Linked DNA regions of Tamandua tetradactyla. The protein of the gene in region 2 purifies or fractionates together with the protein of the main gene of each other region. This does not show direct contact. Links are inferred from orthologs where the notes say so. Each region holds a gene or a part of one and is shown on either strand. Other genes may lie near its edges.

Evidence for each region.
Region 1: the proteins of ZMYND8 (region 2) and ZNF687 purify together in Homo sapiens (affinity purification with mass spectrometry; 4 studies listed by BioGRID and IntAct, with this or other methods). This does not show direct contact. The link is inferred for Tamandua tetradactyla from reciprocal best matches to the Homo sapiens genes ZMYND8 and ZNF687.

The regions. Positions count from the first base shown.
Region 1 is NC_135330.1:4,159,539-4,170,254, forward strand, and holds the start of ZNF687 (zinc finger protein 687), read right to left. Parts: upstream 6,628-10,716; 5' UTR 6,601-6,627; coding exon 6,459-6,600; intron 4,740-6,458; coding exon 2,602-4,739; intron 2,475-2,601; coding exon 2,296-2,474; intron 1,901-2,295; coding exon 1,724-1,900; intron 1,601-1,723; coding exon 1,438-1,600; intron 1,307-1,437; coding exon 974-1,306; intron 853-973; coding exon 740-852; intron 533-739; coding exon 391-532; intron 300-390; coding exon 1-299. UniProt on the Homo sapiens protein: May be involved in transcriptional regulation.
Region 2 is NC_135327.1:5,019,780-5,030,495, reverse strand, and holds the start of ZMYND8 (MYND-type zinc finger-containing chromatin reader ZMYND8), read right to left. Parts: upstream 7,331-10,716; 5' UTR 2,627-7,330; coding exon 2,443-2,626; intron 2,324-2,442; exon of another isoform or gene 2,139-2,323; intron 1-2,138. UniProt on the Homo sapiens protein: Chromatin reader that recognizes dual histone modifications such as histone H3.1 dimethylated at 'Lys-36' and histone H4 acetylated at 'Lys-16' (H3.1K36me2-H4K16ac) and histone H3 methylated at 'Lys-4' and histone H4 acetylated at 'Lys-14' (H3K4me1-H3K14ac).

The DNA.
Region 1 (10,716 bases), on a different chromosome or scaffold from region 2:
CCCAGCCCCAGGGCACTGGCGCTACCCGCACCCCGTCTCTTCTTGTGGCTGATGAAACGGTGGCGGCTCAGGGAGCCAGGGGAGGCAAAGCACAAGCCACAGTCCAGGCACTGCTGGGCACCACCGTCCACCCTCAAGCCGACCAGGAGGCTCTGCTCCGCTGAGCCACTGCTCCGGTGGCGCAAGGGGCCATGGCCTGCAGCCCCAGGTCCACCCCTGGGGGACTTGGCCGGTGGGGTTGTGCTGTCAGGCTCCTCGCTGCAAGAGTCAGAAGACTGGCGGCGTTTCCGTCCCGGCCCCTGGAGAAGACAGTGGAAGACACACAGGGTTGTACCATCACCCTAACTTCCCCAGGCAGTTTCCCACCCAGCAGGCTGGACCTCTGCCTACCTGGGCTCTGGCACCAGGACCCCGAGCTAGAGCACTCCCCCGGCCAGGGGCCTGGGCCCCGAGCTGCAAGCCATGCCGGACCTGGACATGTTTCTCCAGGATCAGGCGGCTGCTGAAGGTACGTTTCCCCTCTGTGCAATACCTGGAAGAGAGTGGGCAAAATGGGCACCAGGGGCACAGCCCCGAGACCAAGGCCCATGGCTCCTGAGAGAAGGGAGCTGCCAGAGCAGAGGGAGCCTCCAGCTTCGGTCCACTCAGACAGGAGGCAGGTGGGAGGGAGCTTTGGGAGGGAGGGGCTAGGGTCACCTGCTGGGCAGAAAGAGGAAGGGGGTGATGGGGCAAGGGTTACCTGCATGGATAAACTCGCTTGATACCCTCGTGATTGACCCTGACGTGGCGCCTCAGGCTGGGGGCGGAGCAGAAGGAGCGCTCACACAGGCGACAGGGAAACTTTTTCACTGACTAGGAGAGCAGGGGGTGGGAGATTTCAGAGCTGGGCTCCAGGACCCCCTTCCCGATCTCACACAGGCCAATCCCAGTGATGCCCCTGCAGCCCACTGTGTTCCCCTCAGTGCCCACTCACCTTGCCATGCTCCTTCTTCATGTGAGCCACATATTCATCCCGCTCAGGGAACCAGGAGTGACAAAGGCCACAGGTCCAGCCACCAGGCCCCCCGCCCCCGCCCTTGATGCCTTTGCTCCCGAGTTCCCGCCGAGGCCGCTTGGTTGGACGGGGGGGCTCAGGGGAGCTGGGCAGTTCCTCCTCTTCTGAAGACGAAGATGATTCCTCAGTGGGGGCGGCTGCCCCTCCCCGAGACACAGCCAGCTCCTCAGGTTCAGTTTTAGGAGTCAGAAGGGCACCCCCAGCCCCTTTCCCAGCAGTCTCCTCCCCTAGGCGCCCGGACTGGTGAGTGTTCTGTGAGGGAGACAAGGGGGTGACTGTTGCAGGGGAAGGCCTGGCTTTGCCAAAGCTCTCACCTCTCCCAGCCCCTACTTCCTGATGGTCACATGACTTAGCCCCAGATCTGTTATCAGCGGAGCCCCCACCTTGAGATGTTCCAGCATGGTCCTTTTTTGGGCAAAGAGGAGAGGACAGGACGGGCACTTAAAGACACTGACACGCTGGGGCAACAAATGCTGGTCGAAGTGTGAGGAGAGGAGGGGTTTGTGAGTGAAGACTGTATCACACATGGCGCACTTGTAGATCAGCCTACAAAGGTGTAAGGACAGCACGGACATCAGGCAGGGATAGGAGCCCTCCCCCATTCAGCCCTGTTCAAGGCCCAACCCCTGCCCCAGCCTCTCCTCCTGGCGCTCCCTCCCCAGGTCTCACTTGGCCTGCTGCGTGTGGAAGCTGGGGTGCTGGGTGTAGAGGTGGGCATGGGCGCTCGGCGCAGACTTGAAGGCCATAGGGCAGATGGGGCACTTGTGGAAAACCTCGCAGTGCGACGTCTGGATGTGGGACTTGATAGAATTCACGCCCCCAAATACCACTGAACAGCTGGGGCACCTTGGGAAGGAAGTGGAAGGCACTGTGGTGAGGTGGGGGCTTCTCCATGCCCACCCCCCATCCCACACTCATTCTTAGGGACCGCGCAGACTCTGAGACTTGAGGAAATCAACAGTGGAGCATGAGCAAGATGGAGAAAGAAGGCAGCTATAGAGATTCACTTTCTCACGGAAGGCCTCGAGAGCTTGAGCTCCAGAGGTGGGGGACTTGGCCAGCATCCCCCATTTCCATGGGAATGATGGGAAGGCAGAATATGGTTTGTCAGGCTGAGCTTCCCAACACAACAGACCTGGGGGATACAGCAGGAGAGAACAGAGCTCTCCTTGAGAGACCATTTAAAAGACTGATGCTAGGAGACATAAAAAGCATATCAAGAAAACAGAGCTGTGAGACACCTGTATCCTACGCGGCGAGAGAAATGCAGACAGGCCTCCCGGAGATGGGTCTGAAAATTGGCTTGCAGGAAGTTACCCCCACACTCAGGGCAGACATGGGGGGGTCGATTCTTATGCATGCGCTGGTGGGCATTGAAGCTGCAGCGATTAGGGAGCATCATGGGGCAGGTTGGACATACCTGTTGGGGGGCATTGGAACAAGGTAAGTTGGTAAGGAGTGAAATGTCCCCCATTACTTCTCCTAATCAACCCCCAACCCTTCATAGGTCCCACCTCCCCAGGGAAGGTCTGTGAAAGGCAACTCACATTGCTGGTGACCCCAGGAGCAGGGGGCCCGAGCTGCTGGAAGTGGGCGGCCATGCCAGCCTTGTCCCGGCACTGCTCCTTGCACTCCAGGCAGCGAAAGCATGTGTAAGCAGAGGTGGCAGGAGCAGCAGGTGGCTCAGATGAAAGTGGCAGCACGGGGGCCTCAGTGGCAACCGTTGTAATGGTGGAGGAGGTGACTGCCCCTTCTCCTTTGCCCAGGGCAGGCAGGGCTGGAAGTCCAGGGGCAGGGGGGACAGTCACAGGCAGCAGGGGCGTGATGTCTGGCTGCCCTACCATCTGGTCAAGGGCTACAGGCCTCATGACCAAGTGTGAGCACTGCATGACAAGCCCCTTGTCCTTGTGCTCTCGTGCATGCAGCAGGAGGCTGCACTTGTTGAAGAAGACCAGACGGCGGGCACAGTGGTTGCAGGTGACCTCGATGCGCATGCTCCGGCGGTCGTAGTGCCGTGCCAGGCTCTTCTCCAGGGAGAAGGCATCCCCACACTCGAGGCAACGGTAGCCCGTGGGAGGCAAGGCCAGCCCCGCCTCAGCCGGTGGACTCAGGTTTGGCCTGTAGGCAGGCAGCAGATTCTTGCTGTTGAGGATCTTGTTGAAGGCCTCCACCAGGCTGGACTGGGTCCGTGAAATCACTGTGCCACCCCCAGCTCCTGGCCCAGTGGCTGGCTTTGAAGGCTGTACCATTACCACTGAGGCACCATTCACTTTCTGCCCTCCTGTCCCCAGCCCTGCTCTCCCATCTGCCTTGGGCAGGGCCTGGGGCACCAAGCCTAGCACATTCTTAGCCACTGTCTTAGGGCTGGTGGCATTACCCCCAGGCAGAACCACAGCTTTGCGGGCCACACTGGCTGCCATCAGCATGGCAGTGCTGGCGTTCTGGATGGTGGCCACAGGCAGCACAGTGCCCTTTAGCCTCGTGCCATCACCCAACTGGACACTCACTACCTTAGGACCCTCCGGAGTTGGGGGTGCTGGAGACAGCTTCAGGAGGTTAGTCTCAGCCAGGAAGGACCCTTCGGTCCTAGGGGCCGGGGGATCAGGGTCTGAGGGAACCCGGGTTACAGTCCTTGTGATATTCCCACAGGATGTCTTAATCGTCTTGATCCGCACCTTGAGGGGCCTGGAGGAGCTGGAGGACGCAGGGGAGTCATTGCTGTCCTCGTCCGCAGCCTCAGCTCCACTAGAAGGACTTTGGGGGCTTCCTGGGGGAGACTTGTCCACCGGCCCCTCATCATCTTCTTCCTCCTCCTTTAGAGACCGACAGCCGGGCACTTTGGGAGAGGCAAGAGGGCTCTGGTGTCCTGGAGACTGCTTGAAGAAAGGCACCCCAGCAACGTGGGGAGGTGAGCTGCTGGCAGGAAGGCCCGTGGCCTCGGGGCTGGAGCTGGAGCTGAGCCGAGCTGGGCCCTGGGAATGAAGGGGGCTGCTGCTGCCCTGTTTCAAAGTCCCTAGTGGTGGGGAAGAATCAGAGGGCAGCAGGGCTGGGCCATTCTCCCGGGCCAGCTCAAATGGAGAGGGGAAAGGAGGGGGCGTCATGGCCCCTTCCCGAGGTGGGGAGGGTGCTGAGGGAGGCAGGGGATCAGGATGCTCCCCTGGCTCAGGCCCAAAATGAGCAAAGAGATCTAAGGGAGCTTTGCCTTCCATGGCTTTTTCTTTCCAGCTACCCCCACTTGGAGGAGCTGGAGAGTGGGGAGTTCCTGGGAGGGATGGCTCAGGGCCCCCAAAACCATTTTGTATCAGACGATGGCCCATAGGTCCTTCCTTAGTCACCCCTCCGCTCCGGGCCCCTTCCTCTCCTGAACCCCCAGCCAGTGCCTCAGACTGCTCAGGACATACAGTGTTCTTGACAATGACGCTGACTGCCGAGATGTCTGGAGGTGGCAGGCCATGGTCACAGGCCTGGGCTGGAGCCCCAGGGTCATCCCCACCAGCTGCGGCTGTTGCTTCTCCAGATTCACCTCCCACACTGGATTCTGACTTTCCTTGGCCTCCCGGCCCCTCATTTTCTTCTGGCCCAGAGTGGATGGCTTCATTCGCATCAATGTCAGGGATATCAAAGGCAGCAAGGAGGTCGTCAAAATCAGGGGTCTTCATGTCCCCCATGGCAGCAGGTCCCAGACCTGATGAAAACAGACAAAAAGAGGGAGAAACTGAGACCTCTGGAAGCAAGAACCCTAGACCTCCTCCTGCATGATCTCCATACTTATCCCCTCTCAGAACTGGACTTGGATACAGCTCCACCACAGCCTGAGTCCTAGAGAGCTGGTGGAGGTGGCTTGTTTGCCAGACCCTAAAATTGGAAGGGGGTACTGTACACAGACCACAGGAGATACCCAGATCCAGAAAAAGCAGAGAAAAGACCTCTCAGAAATACAGACACAGATATTAAGCAGAGTGAGTTTAGTGAGCATCTTGATTAAAACTGCCTCTCCCTGCCCTGTGCCCAGCCCAGAACCAACTAAACTAACCCATGCTATTTCCAAGGCAGGCGGAGTACACTATGCTCTAGGTTTAAGGGCTTTTTCATGTCAGCATTAGATCAATTAATATTCTTCATGGATCTTCTGGGATCCACAGAGAGCTGAAAGGCCATGTGTTCAAAGGGGCAGTGACTTAAACCAAGACATAAAAAATGATTCTTGTTCCAGTTTTTTATCACTGCCTTGCTTTATAAGCAAGTTACTTCACTGCCTTACTTTTGCATTTCAAAGAAGGGGCAAGTAATCCATACAGTAAAGGGCTATTCTGAGCATGATATGAAACTGTGAGACTCAGAACCTGGAATACAATTTATTATCATAGCTGGGTCAAACACGGGTATGTCAGGTCAAGGAAGAGCTGGGAAGGAATAAACACTGGAAATCTAGGATTGGGGTCAGAGACAATTGTCAAGAGTCATGTAAGGTTAAGTCTGGGACAGCTGGGGTCATCCCTGGCAACTGGAGATCCATGTTGGTCAACATAGGGGAAAGGACACTGAGAAATTACCTAAGAGACTGAAAAGGTAAGAAAAAGACACAGGAACAGAAAGAGACAAAGAAAAGAAAGAGAGGAAAACAGTGACAGCACCCTGGTCACAAAGGCCCCAGGCTATGCAGGTCCTGTCACAAACACCTGCTGCTCGCTCACCTATCTTCCCCAGAGTGCCTGGGCCCGCCCCCAGCCAGCCCTGCTCCCCACCTCCCTTCTCATCTTGCTCTCTGAGGGCTAAAACTCCAGGGTACAAGCTTATCCACCACAGTCAGGCACCATGGGGAAAAGCCAGGCTCCCTCAAGCCTGCAGTTTCTGCTCTGAGCTCCCCCCCCCCACCAGTTTATTCCTTAACCCAAACTCCTCACACTTTTAATTTTCTTCTGGCAATAGTAGCCCAGGAAATTTCACCTTACCTAGCCCAGAACAGTACCCAAAATCCCACAAGATTTATGTGGGCCTTACGAGGCACTCAACCAACAAGAAGGCGAGCTTAGAGAGTGGAAGGAACCCAAGTCCGTCAACCTAGCAGTATCTCCCCACAAGTGTTTCTTTATCTAGGAAGAAACAACTGAAAATATCTCTATTCTTACATACTCCCTGTTCAAGACACAAGCAAGCAAGCCACTTCCCAGGGCCAATTCCACCACCTCTTTCCAGCCTTTAGACTGTAACTGGAGATAGCCCCAGCAGGTGGCAGCTGGCATTGCTGGGACCAAGGTGGGGGTGGGGGGAGAGGGTACCAACTACAGGCAGAAAGCAGAGTCTTCCTTTCCCCCTCCCCCTCAATTCTACAGACTCGGTTTAAACAAAGCCCTTCACCCCTGATGGACGGCAAAGGCCCTCCTCGGCCTGGCTCCCTCCCAACCTGGAGAAGCCTGCGCGAAGCTCCCACTCAGGTCCCCAGAAAAGTGGGCTGTTGGTGCAAGACCAGCGGACTGTGATAAACACCTGAGAATTCGCCCCCCCAGCCACCGTTCCCTCTGACGTCCAAAACACTTAGAGGTCATGCGATAGTCAGACTAAGCCGCGCAGCTCAAGGCCGAGGAGGCCCTCCCACCCCTCCCACCCCTCCCACCCCACTGCTCAGGCTCGGACCAGGCCTTCCTGCGGCTGCAGGGCCCTGCCTCTTGGGATCCCGTGCACCCCCATCCCCCAGCCCCTTCCCTCTGCTCTTCCCCAAAAGCCAAAGGAAGGGGCTGAACAGGAAGAGGGTGACCTGGCGAGGGTTGGGTGAGGGCTACACTGCCCTCTGCCTGGGCCCCGGCCTGCTGCGCAGTGAGCGCTGACAGGAGGGCGAGGGGCCCCGGCCGATTAGCCTGCGGCCAGGCTGGGCAGCGGGCGGAGTTAAGTCCCTGCCATCTGCCGAGGGCCGGCGCGGGCCGCACGTCCGGAGCTGCTGGGAGGGGGCGGGGTGTGCACAGGTGCCAGAGGAGAAACTGAGGCGCGCAGCACTTCTCTCGCTCCCAGCGGCGTGCGAAGGCAAGACCGGGCCCCGGCCAGGTCAGGCCAGGCCCCTTGGGGGTGCGGCGCAGCACCGGCGGGCCAGGACGGCGCGGGGCCCGCGGCAGACACCGGCGGCGGGGAGCGACCCCCGCGCGACTCTCAGTCCTCCGGCCGGGGTTCGCCCCAACTCCTGCCTCCTCGCCTCCCGTTCCAGCGCGGCACAACCTCCTCCCCGCCGGACTCTGGACGGTCTCTCGAGAGGGGGAGAGATCGGACGCGGTGCGGCGGCCCCGGGCGCCAGCCTGCGTCCCGTCCCCCCGGTGCCGGCTGGCGCGCAGTCCGGGAGCAGGATCCGTTCCGGCCGGGCCCCCGCCCCCGCCCCCGCCCCCGCCCGGGCACCATCTTGGGTCGCGACATCCCGCAGCCTCGGTCCCCGGCCGCGCGCTGGGCGCCTCTGGAGCCGGCGGCCCCGGGACTCGGGGTCCCCGACCCCTGCCACGTTCGCCCGGCTGGGGGCTGGGGGCTGGGGGCTGTGCTTTCCACGGGCCGGGAACCCCGACCCCCGCCGCAAGGGACGAGGGGTGGCAGCGCCTTCCCAGGGGCCGCCCCAGGGGGGCGGTGCGGAGAGGGGGGTAGGTAGCCCCGTGGGGGAGGGGCGGGCCTGGCCGCCCCCCGGGGGGCGGGGCCGGGGGCGGGTATTCACCCCAAGCAACCTTACTCGTTCCGCTCCGAGGCCCGCCGGGACGCGGCGGTCTCTGCCCTGCTCCAGCCGCCGCCGTCGCCGCCGCCCTCCCCGCGGCCGCCGCTACTTCCTGCTTCTCTCCCGTTCAGCCTCCCCCCCCCACCTCAGGTCCCTCCGCGCGCCGGGTCGCGGCAGCCCGCTTCCACACTCGCCATTGGACAGCGCCCCCGTCGCTCAGGCCCGCGCCCCTCCCAATCCCGCGCACGGTTGGCCTTAAGCACTGCCGCTCTGGGCTCGCCCCGCACAGGCCTCGTACCCTCATTGGGCAGGGGCCCGAGGCCCTCTGAAGCCGCCTCTCCCCATTGGTCGCGCCGGCGCCCACCTGCCCGGGCTGTGCGTCTCAAAGCTACTGGTAGATGCTACTGTCGCTTAGAGAAAAGCCAAGCTGGGATTCCGCTTTCCTGTTGGAGGCGGTAGTCGTCCAGGTGCGTTCTCGCACCTCACTGCCCATTGGCTGCGCTCCTCTAAGCCTGCAGTTCCCTTATGCAAATGAAAGGATTCTCAGTCATTTGGTGGGCATGCTGAGAAGAGCCAAGTCGATTTCTGAGTGGGGCGCGGATGTGCAGATCCGTTTGCGGATCCGTTTTCAAGCTAACCCGCAATCTGTCATGCCGTGCGTGACGTCACGAATGGGACGACACCCAAAACATTACGTCATCTGGTTGACCGTTTCTTCGCGGCTTCTCAACTGTCAGAATCGTCATATAAGCCGAACGTATGGGAGTCTTCCGCCCCTCGGCGTCGCGCGGGCAGCTCCTGGGCGAAAGCGTCACCCCAGCATCTCCCTCTGAAGGAGAGCTTCGCTGGGGGCGGAGGCCTGAGACCAGCGTGAAGACCGGAAGTGGGGAGGAGGTAACGCTCGGGTGCTGGCGTGGCCTCGGCCATTTCCGAAGGCCTTAAAGCGCCGTACTGGTCGGCTTCCTAAGCGTGGGAGCGGGACCCACTCCAATTCCCGTTTAAGATCGCTCCTTTTCTCCGCCCCCGGCGGCAGGGGGAGGGCCGAGACCGCGTTTCCCGCGCTTTGCCGCCCCGCCCCGTGGGGGCGGGGCAGGGGAGGGGCTGCGCGGAGAGGAGCTGCGTTTCCCTTAGAGCGTCGGCGCTCGCGTGCGCCCTTCCTCTCGAGGGTCCTCGCGCCTCGTCCCGAGGCCCCCCGAAGGCCACCGCCCTCTGCCGCCCCCAGCCGAGCGCCGCGTCTGAAGTGACTTTGTAGCCGAACCCGGGGTCTCGGGCCGACGACCCGGGCCGTCCCCCGGAAGGCTGCGGGCGCTGTGGCCAGGGCGCCCGGGCTGGAACCTGCCGGGACTCGGGCACGTCTTCGCCGTTTCCAACGGTAGAACGAGGATTCGAATACCCACCTGCCAAGATTTGTTTCTGAGGAATATGAGTGAAGAAAGTAAAAGTACTTTGTGAAGTGCTTGGCCGCAGCGCAACGCCCCCCGCCCGCCCGCCTTCTTGAGGCGCCCGGGCTGCTCCGAGCCGCCAGCCCCCTCATGTCAGACCCGCATCCCCTTCCCACCTGCTCACCCCGCTTCTCCCTGCACCGAATAATAGCAGGGCCTGTTCACACGCACGTACCACGAGCTATTAATCCTTCCTGCAACCCTGTGAGGGAGGTGCTGTTACCTAGCTCCGCTTCACCGAGGCGCCGGCAGGTCAGGTCTGGAGCAGTGGAGCCGAAATTGAAAGTGTCCAGAAAGCTAAACACTGTATTTCAGAGATACGGTGGTGGGAGGGATCTGAATAGGTTTGCTGTTCGATTAGATGAACGATCATTCATTAAGAAATATTTTAATTCAACAAAGATTTCTTGAGCCCCTTCTGTGGATCAAGGAGTGCTATAGGCGCTGGGGATACAGCAGTGAACAAAACGCACAAGAATCGCTGCCCTCATGAAACATTCCTGTGGAGAAGGCAGACTATAAATAGGATAACTAAGAAATATTAAGAAGCAGGTTAGACAGTGATAATTGTCAAGGAGAAAATTAAAGCAAGGAAGGAGAGTAGAAAAGTATGGAAGGTTGCAATTATAGATAGAATGTAAGTAAAGGCCTTTCGGAAAAGAGGAATTAAGTAAAGGCCAGGAGGGGAGCGAGGGAGTGTGCAGCAGTAAGGGACAAGAGCATCCTGGGATGAGAAAGCAGTGCAAAGGTCCTGGGGTGAAAGTATGAGAGGTCAGGGGGCCGGAGGAGTTGGTTAGGCGACAGAGTGTTTTGGAGGCTATTGGAAGGACTTTAGCTTTTTCTTAGGATGAGTTGGAAAGCCATCAAAAGTGACTTATCTTTGGTGAGTCAAAAGGTGGCCTGAGTTACCTATTAAAAAATGATGACTCTGTGATGCCTTGATAAATCCCAGAAGGATTTGAACAGTGAATAAAAAAGTATTTGCAAAGTCCCCTTAGGGAATGGTGAGAGAGGGGGAAAATGAAACTTCCCCAAGTAGAGAATTCTTGATATTCTCACAAGCAGTGGGGATAACCAAAGCAATAGGCTGAACCCGCAATCTTGGGTTTTCTTCATATGAACTTAACCCAGCAAAGGATATGCTAAGCCTGTTTAAAATTAGGCCTAACAGTCACCCCCAAGATAAGCCTGTTTAAAATTAGGCCTAAGAGTCACCCCCAAGAGAACCTCTTTTGTTGCTCAGATGTGGCATCTCTCTCCCAGTCAACACAACAAGCAAACTCACCACCCTTCCCCTCTCTACGTGGGACATGACTCCCAGGGGTGTGGACCTTCCTGGCAATGAGGGACAGAAATCCTAGAATGAGCTGAGACTCAGCACCAAGGGACTGAGAAAACCTTCTCGACCCAAAGGGGGAAGAGCAAAATGAGACAAAATAAAGTGTCAGTGACTGAGAGATTCCAAACAGAGTTGAGAGTTTATCCTGGAGGTTATTCTTAGCACTAAGTAGATATCACCTTTTTAGTTAAGGTATATT
Region 2 (10,716 bases):
GATTTAACTCTGACGAGGACATATTGCTAAGCACATTTCATCTGTACGCTTGGAACGATGACAGCCAACGGAGACCGAGTCACCAGGCAAAGTGGCTCCCCCTTGATCCGAGAACTTTCTGCTGCCTTCTCTTGAGAAGCAGGACAGGAGCCTCCACAAGTTGGCTTCTAATGGGTTAACGGGGCGTGGGAGGGGTGCCGCCTTGGGGCCCGAGGACAGGGCAATGACTCAGGAAAACAGCTTGGCAGCGAGCAGAAGGCAGCACAATGTCCTCTCCATGTGACATTTCACTGAAATCTTAATAACATGGATAGAGCTGCTGGATATTAGGAACCAAGTGTGTGATGAGATTTGTCACAAACCTATATCCCCCCCTTCTTAGCATTTCCCAAATGTCCTTGTCTACAAGGTCCTCTGACTTCACAGACACTCTTACTTCCAACTAAGCTGGCCTCTTACGGTCTCCTTGGTCACAGAGAAACAGCAAGGATCTCCTTTCATTGCTTTCAAGGTCCGAGGCCCTGTTCGAATGCTGCCCCTGTACTTCACTCCAGCTCACCTGCCCAAGGTCACACAGCATCTGTCACAAGGCTGGGATCTGAGCCAGTGCGACACTGGCCACACGGCCTTAACACCAGGAAGGCGCTCGTCTCAGCTCTGCAGTTAGAGGGCTTCCCACCCCAGGGCCTGTGTGTTTAATGTGTGCTCTCCTTTGTCCTTCTTTTTTCCCCAACTGCAGGCGGAGGGGTCAGGGGACAGGGTGGGAGGCTCTCCAGCAAAGAGCTCCAGGAACTGGGTCACTCACTGGCGACGCCACTCTCTCAAAGCCAGTCCCCAGGAAGCAGGCTTTTCTCCACATCTTCCAATCGGGACCGCGGGACCCAGCCTCCAATGCTCTGTGGCCACCTCCCCACCCTTTGTGCCAGCCCCGTCCAGGCCTGCTGTGTCCAGACCCCCCCACCCACATCCGGCCTGAGTCACAGCACTCTCGGTTCTCCAGGGTCTAGGAAATGACACACCAGTACAGGGAATTGCCTCCTCCCCTGAGGCAGAGGGCCGCAGCTGGAAGGCTGGGCACTGCCCCCAAGGACCAGCCCAGGGGTGTTTTCGTGGGTGTCAGGTTTCCTTGATGACGGCCAGCCTGCTGGAGTCCAAGGGAAACTTGGTCAAGGGGATTAGCAGGCCACAGAGGTGGGGGTCAGCGTGGGGTGCCCGGGGGCTTCTAGACAAGCTCCTGGGATAGTCCTGGGCAACCCAGAGTGAGCCGCTCATCCTCCATGGAACTCAGGGGTGACTGCTCTGAGGGACCGACCCGGGGTGGCAGATCGTAGAGACAGACAGCACAGTCAGCAAGACGCTCGCTGGCATCAAACTGCAGAATCTAGGTCTGCAACTTCCCAGCTGTGTGACCTTAAGGGAGCGACTTAACGCCTCTGTGCCTGTTCTGTAAAATGGAGATAACGGCACCTCGCTGAGTCACGGAAGGATTAGATGAGTTAATTCACGTATAAGATCTTAGGACAGTACCTGGCAAAGACTAAGCATTCGATAAATGTTACTCTTTTTTTAAAAACTGAGACTCATTCCTCCTCCTTCTTCCCCACCCACCATTCTAAAAATACAGCCTCGCTTTCTCACAGGAGTATGTTCAACCAGTGCCAAAAGTTCAAAGTTACAGAGAACAGGAGGCCAAAATCGGCCAGGATGTGATTTCTCCACTTCCATCAGACTGTAGGGCTGCCTCGGGGAACGGGGAAGGCAGGGTCAGAGCAGAGGTTGACCCTGCCGGGGCTGGGACGGCAACCGCAGCCAACACTCCCCGTAACTGCCAGGCCTCCCCAAAGCCTGCTTCAAACAGGGCCACACGCTGCTCTCCCAGGAGCAGGAAAGCAGAGATGGGCTCATCATTTCAGGGCACGCAGCAAATGCAGACACAGAGCAGATACCCAGAAGGCCTCTCTACCCCAGACCTGCAGGTCCTCCCAGCTAGTCATTGCATCATTGCATCATCATGAAACAAAAGCAGGGAATGTCCTCCGGGGAAGGGAGCAGGAATGGAAAGTGGGGAGCGAGGGATGGGGTGGGAAACGGGTGACTCTCCTCTTACAGCAGAGAATGCCTAAGCAAAGGGGACAGACCTGCGGGCGGAAACCCTTGTCACCTGCTCCAGCCCTGCGCGTCTACACCGCAGAGGCCGGGCAGCTCCTGCAGCAGGGCTGGCCGCACCGGGGACTGTGCCGCGCCTCTGAAAGGCCCCGCCTGCCAACGGCTCCTCCAGACCCAGGGACAGCAGAGCTGGCGTGGAAACGAGGCAGTGGGACAAAGGGGCCTTTCTCAACGTAGGGAAATGTCACTGGACCGGGAACCCCGTGAGCTCCAGAGGCAAAGCCTGGGAGAGAGATGCCCAGGGCCCAGATGCCTGAGCCGTGCGCGGGCACTTACCTGCCATGGGGAGAGCGGCGCGGCGCGGGGGGCCCGGCCTCCCTACTCGCAGAGAGCAGAGGCTGACACACGACAGACATTCCTGCTTCCGGATCCTCAGCGGCCTCTCCCAGGGGGAGGAGGAAGCAGCAGAGAGGCCAGACTCGGAGGCCCCGCGCGCCAGGCCAGCCCTGGTCTTGCGCATGGGGTCCGCCACCACCTCGGAGGGGCAGCAACCTGCCTCAATGTCCCCGGCTTGTGGCTCTAACTCATCGCCCGCGACAGCAACTCGGCTAGGAGGGAAGTCTTCAGTACACAGCACTCAAGAGCCACTTATTTCACCAGATGCGAATCAACAAACCAAATCAGGGTGGTTCTGCTGATTGAAGCAAGAATATCAGAAGGGGGGTGGGGGGGGGCTGTTGTGGTTGTATTTAAGGTATTTTTTTTTAATTTGTAACTAATTCAGATGATCTTTAGTTGTGATGTGCCTGTGTTGGAAACAAGAAAGCCATCCTTTCCCACACGCACCCTGTATGACTGCGTGTGTGTCTCTCTTGTTCTCTCTCTCTCTCTCTCTCTCTCTCTCTCTCTCTCTCTCACACACACACAATAATGCAGAAGTGGCAATTAAAGGGCACAGTCATATGTAAAAGGTGAACTTCCAAACTAGCCTGGCAGGACCGAAATTGCTTCCATCTCTGGAAACGAGGCTGATTTACAAATGAATTCAGTGTTTAGCTCTCAACAACCACAGAGCCAATTGCGACGCGGGCTGCCCTTTTCCTCCTCCTAGCTGGGATGAGGCCTTTTGGAAAAAGGACATCTCAACAGGAATTTCCTGGTTCAAGAATTCCAACCTCGGTCAAACCTCACAAAGGGGGCCCGGGGCGGAGCCCAGCTCCCTACAAGAAACCGCGGCCGGCGCCCACCCCTCGGCAGCCCCAGAAAGCGGCGACGAATGTGTGCGCATTATCTGAGGCCCTGCAGACCCGACCAAATCACCCAGGAGAATGTGGAAGAACCGGTTGCTTTTGGCCCTCACATCGGAGGTGGCTAATGAGGGCTGGCAGAGGGGTTCTGGCGGCTGAGACCCATTTGTATTATTTATCCCGGCTCCAGGGACTCGGCCAGGGCGGGCCTTGGGGGGTGCCGGGGGCAGGGACAGCATTCCCGTCTCAATCTCGCCTCACCCTCCCATCCCCCAGCCACGCTCGGGTTCAGGAAAGCTCAGGTGCCCGTGGCTTTCAAACTGCAACAGGGAATTGCGGCATCGGAGAACCAATTCAGAGACAAAAAGAGTTCTGTGCCAGCAGCAGCTGAAGCACAGAAGAGCTGAGAGAAGGGAAGGGAAGGAAAGAGGCTTCGTCGAAAGGGAGGTAGATAAAGGAAGCGCCACTGGGAACCGAGCAACGTCCCTCCACGCCCCGGGGGCCCCTGCTTCCCATTTGGCCTCTCCAAAGTCACCTTAACGGAGACAAGAAAGTTCTCTGTGCAAGGGTAGGCTTCTACAGCCACCTCACAGCGGTCCTTCGAGAGAAGACGGGAAGTAACCTCAAGGTCCACTAACAGCAGACCGCGATGCGATAGGTTATGATGCAGCCATAGAGGAACCACACTGTATGGACTGGCACAGAATGAAATCCAAGTGAAAAAAAAGGCCAGAAATAGAGTCCGTGTAAAAGAAACAGGGGTCTGCGTTTAGAAAGGGCTGGAAGAGCACGCAGGAAACTATACCTGCAGGACTCCGCTTCGAAGTCTTTGCGGTCATGTTGCTGTATTTAACTGCAGATACTTTTAAATGGCTGTGGGGTCCACAGATAAGAACAGATAACATTCTGGGGGCTCTCTCTCACTACCCGCCAGGCACACAGAGGCCCAGGCACGGTCCCCATCTGCAGGGCCTACCCCAGCGGGCTGTCAGTAGGCTCTCAATACAAGCTTCCAGCACCCATCGGGTGCCCCTCAGAAGGGGCTGCTCAGACATGCTGCTGCGCATCCCGCGATGCACAGGACAGCCCCCCACGACAAGGACTGACTCAGCCACAGGAGCCCACGATGGCAAGACTTGAGAAACCCCGGTGCAAGGAAACTTCCTTGTGTAAATAAATAATCCACGCCTGGCGGCATGTGCACCCATGAAGAAGGAAAACGATGCCTAATGCTTCTTCCACTCAGCCTGACTTCAGCTATCAAAAAGAGAAAAGGAACAGGACCAGTGAGTCAACAAATAAGAACTGAGCAACTATGGACATCCGTGCTGCCAGGGGAGCCGGCAGGTCCATCCTCATGGGCAGGGAGTCAGGAACAAGAGCGGGGGAAAAAAAGAGAAAAGAGCTTCCTTTTGTGCAGCCCTTTCGGATCTGCAAGGCATATTCTAAAAGACACCTATGGACTGACTTACACTGCAGTTTTCGAGGTGGTGTGTACCGAGAATATCCCCATGTAATCAGCAAAGAAACTGAGGTCCAAGAGAAAGGGGCCCACGGGGAAAAGTGGCTAGTAAATGTAGAATGATTGAGAAACCGGTTACAGATGGACAAAAAGCTGGGGCGGAGGGGAACAACAGGAGTTTGTGTATGTACAGAGGGAAGTGGGGTAGCTAGGAAACATTTCTGTATTTCCTTCTCAAACCAGGCTCATGCAATTCACAGCTGCTATTTACTGAGGAGCTACTTTATGAATTGCATAAGGTCATGATGCTGCTTCTATCCCCATTTTACAGGTGAAGCTCAGGAGGGCAAACTCACTTATGCGCATAAAGCCCGGGGGGCACGGGCATGCCGGGGATTCCATCCTGGCTGGGTCTAACGCCACAGCCCTCACCTGCACCGGTCACCTGGTCACCTGCCTCCCTGACGTGAGCGGCACCTGATGACTCCCAGCACGAGGCCGAAGCCCACACAGACAGCCTCTGCCAGGAGCGTAGGCTCCGGGGCCAGACCCCTAGGTAGCTATGAATCCAAGTGCCGCCATCTGCCCGCTATGCACCCCTGCACACACTGTTAGTCTCTCTGTGCCTCAGTCAATGCAGCTATAAAATGGGTATAACATGGGATCTTCCTCTAAAGGGTTCTTAGGATTAAATGACATAATACATGTAGGGAACAGCATCTGGCATATCAAAGCACCAAGGACTGTTACTATTATTAAAACCCACTAGGGTAAGCAGGTGCCAGAGCAGACAACCCAGAAACCTCGAGCTTCCCCACACCCATTGGTATCTTCACCATGGTTTGCACTGGACTAGTTCTTCCCAGCCGTTCCAGGAAAAGAGAGTCACCTGGTGAGAAACACAAAACTTCTACAGGAAACTCTCTCCAGCTGGCACAGGTTCCACCAAACCAGACTCACAATCCCCCCAGGGCTCAGGCTTTCTCTCCGGGGAGGCCACAATCCCAGCCCCACCCTCCCTAATTGACCTTATTTCCAAAATAAATGCAAGTTTCTCCCTACTCAAGTGAGGCCCAAGGCCCAAGGAGTCTGGTACTGATCCTTGAGTAGATCAAGTCCAGACTCGATGGGTTGTGTGGCCTCTCTCTGAGTCCCAAATGCACCGAAGAATGTCAAACCTTGCAAGGTTTGGATGAAGACGCCTCGGCCAAGATGTTTTCCTTCCCCAGCCATCACTTCTGCCCTATCCAAGTTCGGTCCAACCTTCAGAGCCTCGCTCAAACGCGGCCTTAATCCAGACAGGTACCTGGATGCAGTAACACCTGCTACTTCACAGGTGCCAGGCTCATCCAAGCCCTGTGACTGCCCACTGGCTGGCCTGCTCCCTCACCTGCCCCCCATCAGCCTTCTTCAAACCTAACAAGACCCTCTCCTCCTTCTTCCCTCCAAGATATGCCTTCGTTCTTGGAATACAAGACCCAACATTTTCAAGACCTAGATGCCCCAACTGATGGGGTCCTGCTCACCTTTTTTCCTCCATTTGCTCAGCTCTAACCATAAAGGTCTCCTTTCTGCTCCGCACAACAAGCCAAGCTCAGCTGCACTTGCTGGCTCCTCCATCTAGAGTGTTCCATGCCCCAGCCTTCCATAGCAGGCAACTCTGAGCTTTTGGCTAAGACGTCATCTCCCGGCAGAGGCCTTCTGGGAGCTCCCCCTGCCTCCAGACTCCTTATTATGTAACTTCCACCTTAAAAGCAATTTTCTCTCTTTGTTTATTGTGCCTCCCCCAGAAGTGTGCTTCACCTTACCTAACTGTCCTTCTCTGCTGTAGCACAGGCCTGGTACACGGCCCCGTAAACACATGAGGGTGCAAAAAACAAGCCCCGGAGGGGGCAGCAAAGGCCCCCCGTGGGCCAGCCGGGCCTGACCCACAGGCCACTCCAGCTTTTCGTCCCCAGACTCAGAATCTCTCCCAGCAAACCCAAACGGCAGGAGGGTTGCAGAATCAATGGGGCAGATCACACAAGGGAAGCTGGCCATTTCAGAGTCAGAAAATAAAAAACTAGAGCAGAAAATTCCCTTTTTCTACAGGGCTCCATCCACTCTTGCCTCTTGCTTAAAGGGCCATTTCCCCACAAGGGTTCCAGGTTCCCTAAATAAGGACTTCTATGCAGAAAGTGATTGTTGAAAAGTGAGGAGGGGGACTAGGAGATTTTCTCAGGTCACCCATACTTTCAGAGCTATTGTTTCAGAGTCATTTACCAAAGAAAACAATGATTTTCCCCATGGAAAACACACTCCCTGCTAAGAGAGGCTTCCCACCTCCCACAGAGCTCACCACTTCACCACATTTTTTAGTCCTGGGTTCTTGTCCTTTTAAGTGTGAGAAGCCCTGCCCAGCACCTCCCCCTGACCCCCGCCTCCTGTGTCTCCATTTCTGCCTGTGCAATGCAAAGCAATGAGGGCTCAGCCTCGGAAAAGGGAAAGTAAAAAATTATTTTACAAGTTCATCTTTCCCCATCCCACTCAATGGGCATGAGGCAAGAGGCATTAAATCTGCTCTGTCCTCCTCCTTCTAGGTTCCCTCAGGTTTCTCAGTGTCAGCATCTAGCCAGGGTTAGATAAGTCTAGAATTTAAAGCTACAGGTCTGTCGGGCAAGATGTCCCTCAACGCTCACCAACTACTAAGGCACCTGGTCCCAACCCAAGAAGTGGACATGCGAGCCGCAGGGCAGCCCCTAAAGGAAGAGCAGAGATGGGAGTTACTGAAATCTTCAAGGAGATGGGGACACGAGCAGGTCAGACCTAAGAGGAGAGTCACGTGACAGTAGGCCACATAAACTAAAGTGATACAGAAGGGGAGTGGTCAGTGACAAGGAAACCGATCGAGGAGGCCCTACAGCCACCGCCTAGACCGGAGGTGGCCAACGACAGGCCGGCAGGGCGGCAGGCCGGAGTCATCCACAGCCAGATGTGGCTCTTAAAAGGAGAGAGGAAAACAATTTGGCAGTTTCTCAAAAAGAGAGACCAGCCTAGGAGCCCAGCAATTCCACTGCTAGGTGTGTAAAGAATTGAAAACGGGAACTCAAATAGACACTTGCACACCGTGTTCACAGCAGCATTATTCACAAGTGCCAGAAGGTGGAAACACACCTAGCGTGCACCAACAGATGAGCGGGGAATCAGAGCGTGGAGTATATACACAAGGGAAAGTTACGGCATAAAGCGGAATGAAGCTGGGACGCATGCAAATGACATGGAAGAGCCCTGAAGGCACCACGTTGAGTGAAATAAGCCAGACACCAAAGGGCAGATATTAAAAAATTCAATTTATGTGACTATCCAGACCAGGCAAATTCATGAAGGACAGAAAGCAGATTAGAGGTTACCAGAGCCTGGGGGAGAGGACATTGGGAGATCACTGCTTAATGGGTACGGAGTTTCTGTTAGGGTTCATGAAAAGTTTAGCAAATAGAGAGTGGTGATGGTTGTGGAACGTTGCAAATATAACTGATGCCACTGAACTGTACACTTAAAAATGGTTAAATGGCAAATGTCACGTTATATCTATTTTACCGTGATAATTTTTTCTTAATTTGGGAGAAGCTGTATGAAAAAATTCAGACTCTTACTTTTCTGTTAAAAAAAAAAAAATCAGAAGATCCAGCCACATGGGATGGCACTTCCACATGCAGGGACCTTCCAGGGGGTACTCTGGGGACGGAAGGCAAACTCCCATTTGTCAAGGTCTCCGTTTCTCTTACCTTTTATACAATTACATCTAAACTTAAAAACTGCTTTAAGAATCTAACGGGGCAGGAGAAAGCAAAAAAAGGGAAGAAAATAAGTAGAGAAGTCAGAGGTGGGGGATGCTTTGCTAGGATGGCTGCATTCTAAAAAGTCCAATTCCATTATGTCCGCATGGTATAGATCTTATGTCTTTATAACCACAGACAGGACAAAAGTGTAGGTGAAAACACACTGAGCTGTTGGCCTGGCTACCTGGCAGGAGAGGATTTTCAGCTTTTTATCACTGTATATTTTGTCCAGTTGTAACACTGATTTTTATGCACTGGAAGGAAAATTCAATAAACTGGTTTTTTTGTGTGTTGGTTTTTTTTTTTTTTTTTTGCCCTTAAAGTCAATTTACATTTCTCGGTAGATAAGCTTTATTAAAAAAAACCACATCTACTGAGCAGCTATTAACTGGCAGCCCCATGTTAAAGAGGTGCCCGAGATTAAAGTGGAAAAGTTGTACACTCTGTGCTGCGTGGTGTGGCAGCCACATGTGCCTGTAAAGACTTGACATGTGGCTAGTGAGACTGAGGGCTGAATTTATTTCATTTAATTTCAATTAATTAATGTAAACGTAAGCCATCACACGCCGTCAGTGGCTACTGTGTTGGACAACAGGGCTGGAGAAGCTGACTATCCACCGACGGGCAGCAGGGATGGCAGGAGGGCAGGAGCACCTACGAAGCTCCCTCCCTCCCACAGGCTCTCAGGATTCAGTAGTTTTCTTACAGGCAGAATGATTTGATGCTCAGAAATGAGTATGTGGCCTTGCTTTTGATTCTTCCTTTAGTCTTGTCTGGAAATTCTCAAGCCTTGATTTAGTATGCATAAGAACTCCTGATGTGAGCTGATGACAGTGCTTTCGTGGGCAACTGAAGGGACCATTCGGCTGACTTTGACACCCAAAAGGTTCCTCTTTAGGACGGAGTATGTGGGGGGCTAAGAGAGAAGGACAAGACCTCACGGGTGTGGACAAGGCGAGGGGGCGGCTCAGGAAGCAGCTGGAAGGAGCTGCAAGGTGACTCAGCAAGGCACAAGTGTGGCAAGCCAGGCAGGCTGGGTAGGAGGGACAGGTCTGCAGGGCCGCAGCTGTGCTGACCAAGGCCGGACCAGCAAGGACACACAGAGAAAAGCCGTGATGACGGTGGTCTCGAGAAGCCACTGGAAATTTAAAGCAGGAGTGGACAACTGGACGTGTGTGTTTGAAAGATCTGCTCAAAGTGGGATTAAAACATTGGGGAGGAAAGAAATCAGAAGGAACAGAACCATTTCAAAGGGCATCATGTCTCTCTCTCAAAGGAAAAGAAAGGCAGGCCACCAATCATTTCAAAGAGAGCAGTCATTTGAGCATGGATAATTATTTCCAGACACTGGATCATCATGGAAACAAAGTCAGTCTCTCTAGCCCGAAAGATTTTCCTTCATTCTCCAGGATAAGAGTTCTATCCATCAGATATACAAAGCCAAGACATTCATTCATTTGCTCAAAAATTCTTACTGTACAAGGACGAGAAAAGACATATGGAAAAAAAGTGATGAGCATAAGCAAAAGGCAGACCTCAGCCTCATTTGGGGCCTTGAAATAGATGGATAGAGGGGAGCTGAGAGGAGAAGGGAGAAAGGAGAACATTCCAAGTATGAGCAAAGGCCCAGGGGCCAGAGATAGCTCTGCCAACGCCCTGGAAGGTCAGGGTATAACACGGCAAGAGAGGAGGCTGGAGAGGCAGACGGGGGCCGCCCAGGATGAGGATTTTAGGATTTTGATCTTCATCCTAAAACCAATGAGAAAGCACTTAAGAGTTTCAAGTAGAAGAGAGAGTGGCCTGAGCAGAAATGCCTTTCGCAAGCATGGGGGGTGGGGGAAGTGTGGCAGGCAGAGGCAGTGAAACTGGCCAAAAGACGGCTACAATCAAGAGGGACAGCTTGGGGAGGACCGACAGTTAGGATGATGTTCCACTTTAAGAAAATGACACAGGAGGCACCACAATCAAGGATGAGTCCCGTATCTGTCGCTTAGACAACTGGCAGAGGGCTCACTCGCCAGGGAGGATGGCAGAAGTTCCATTTCTTGGCAGAGAGGGGTGCTGAGATGTGAAATCAGTTTTG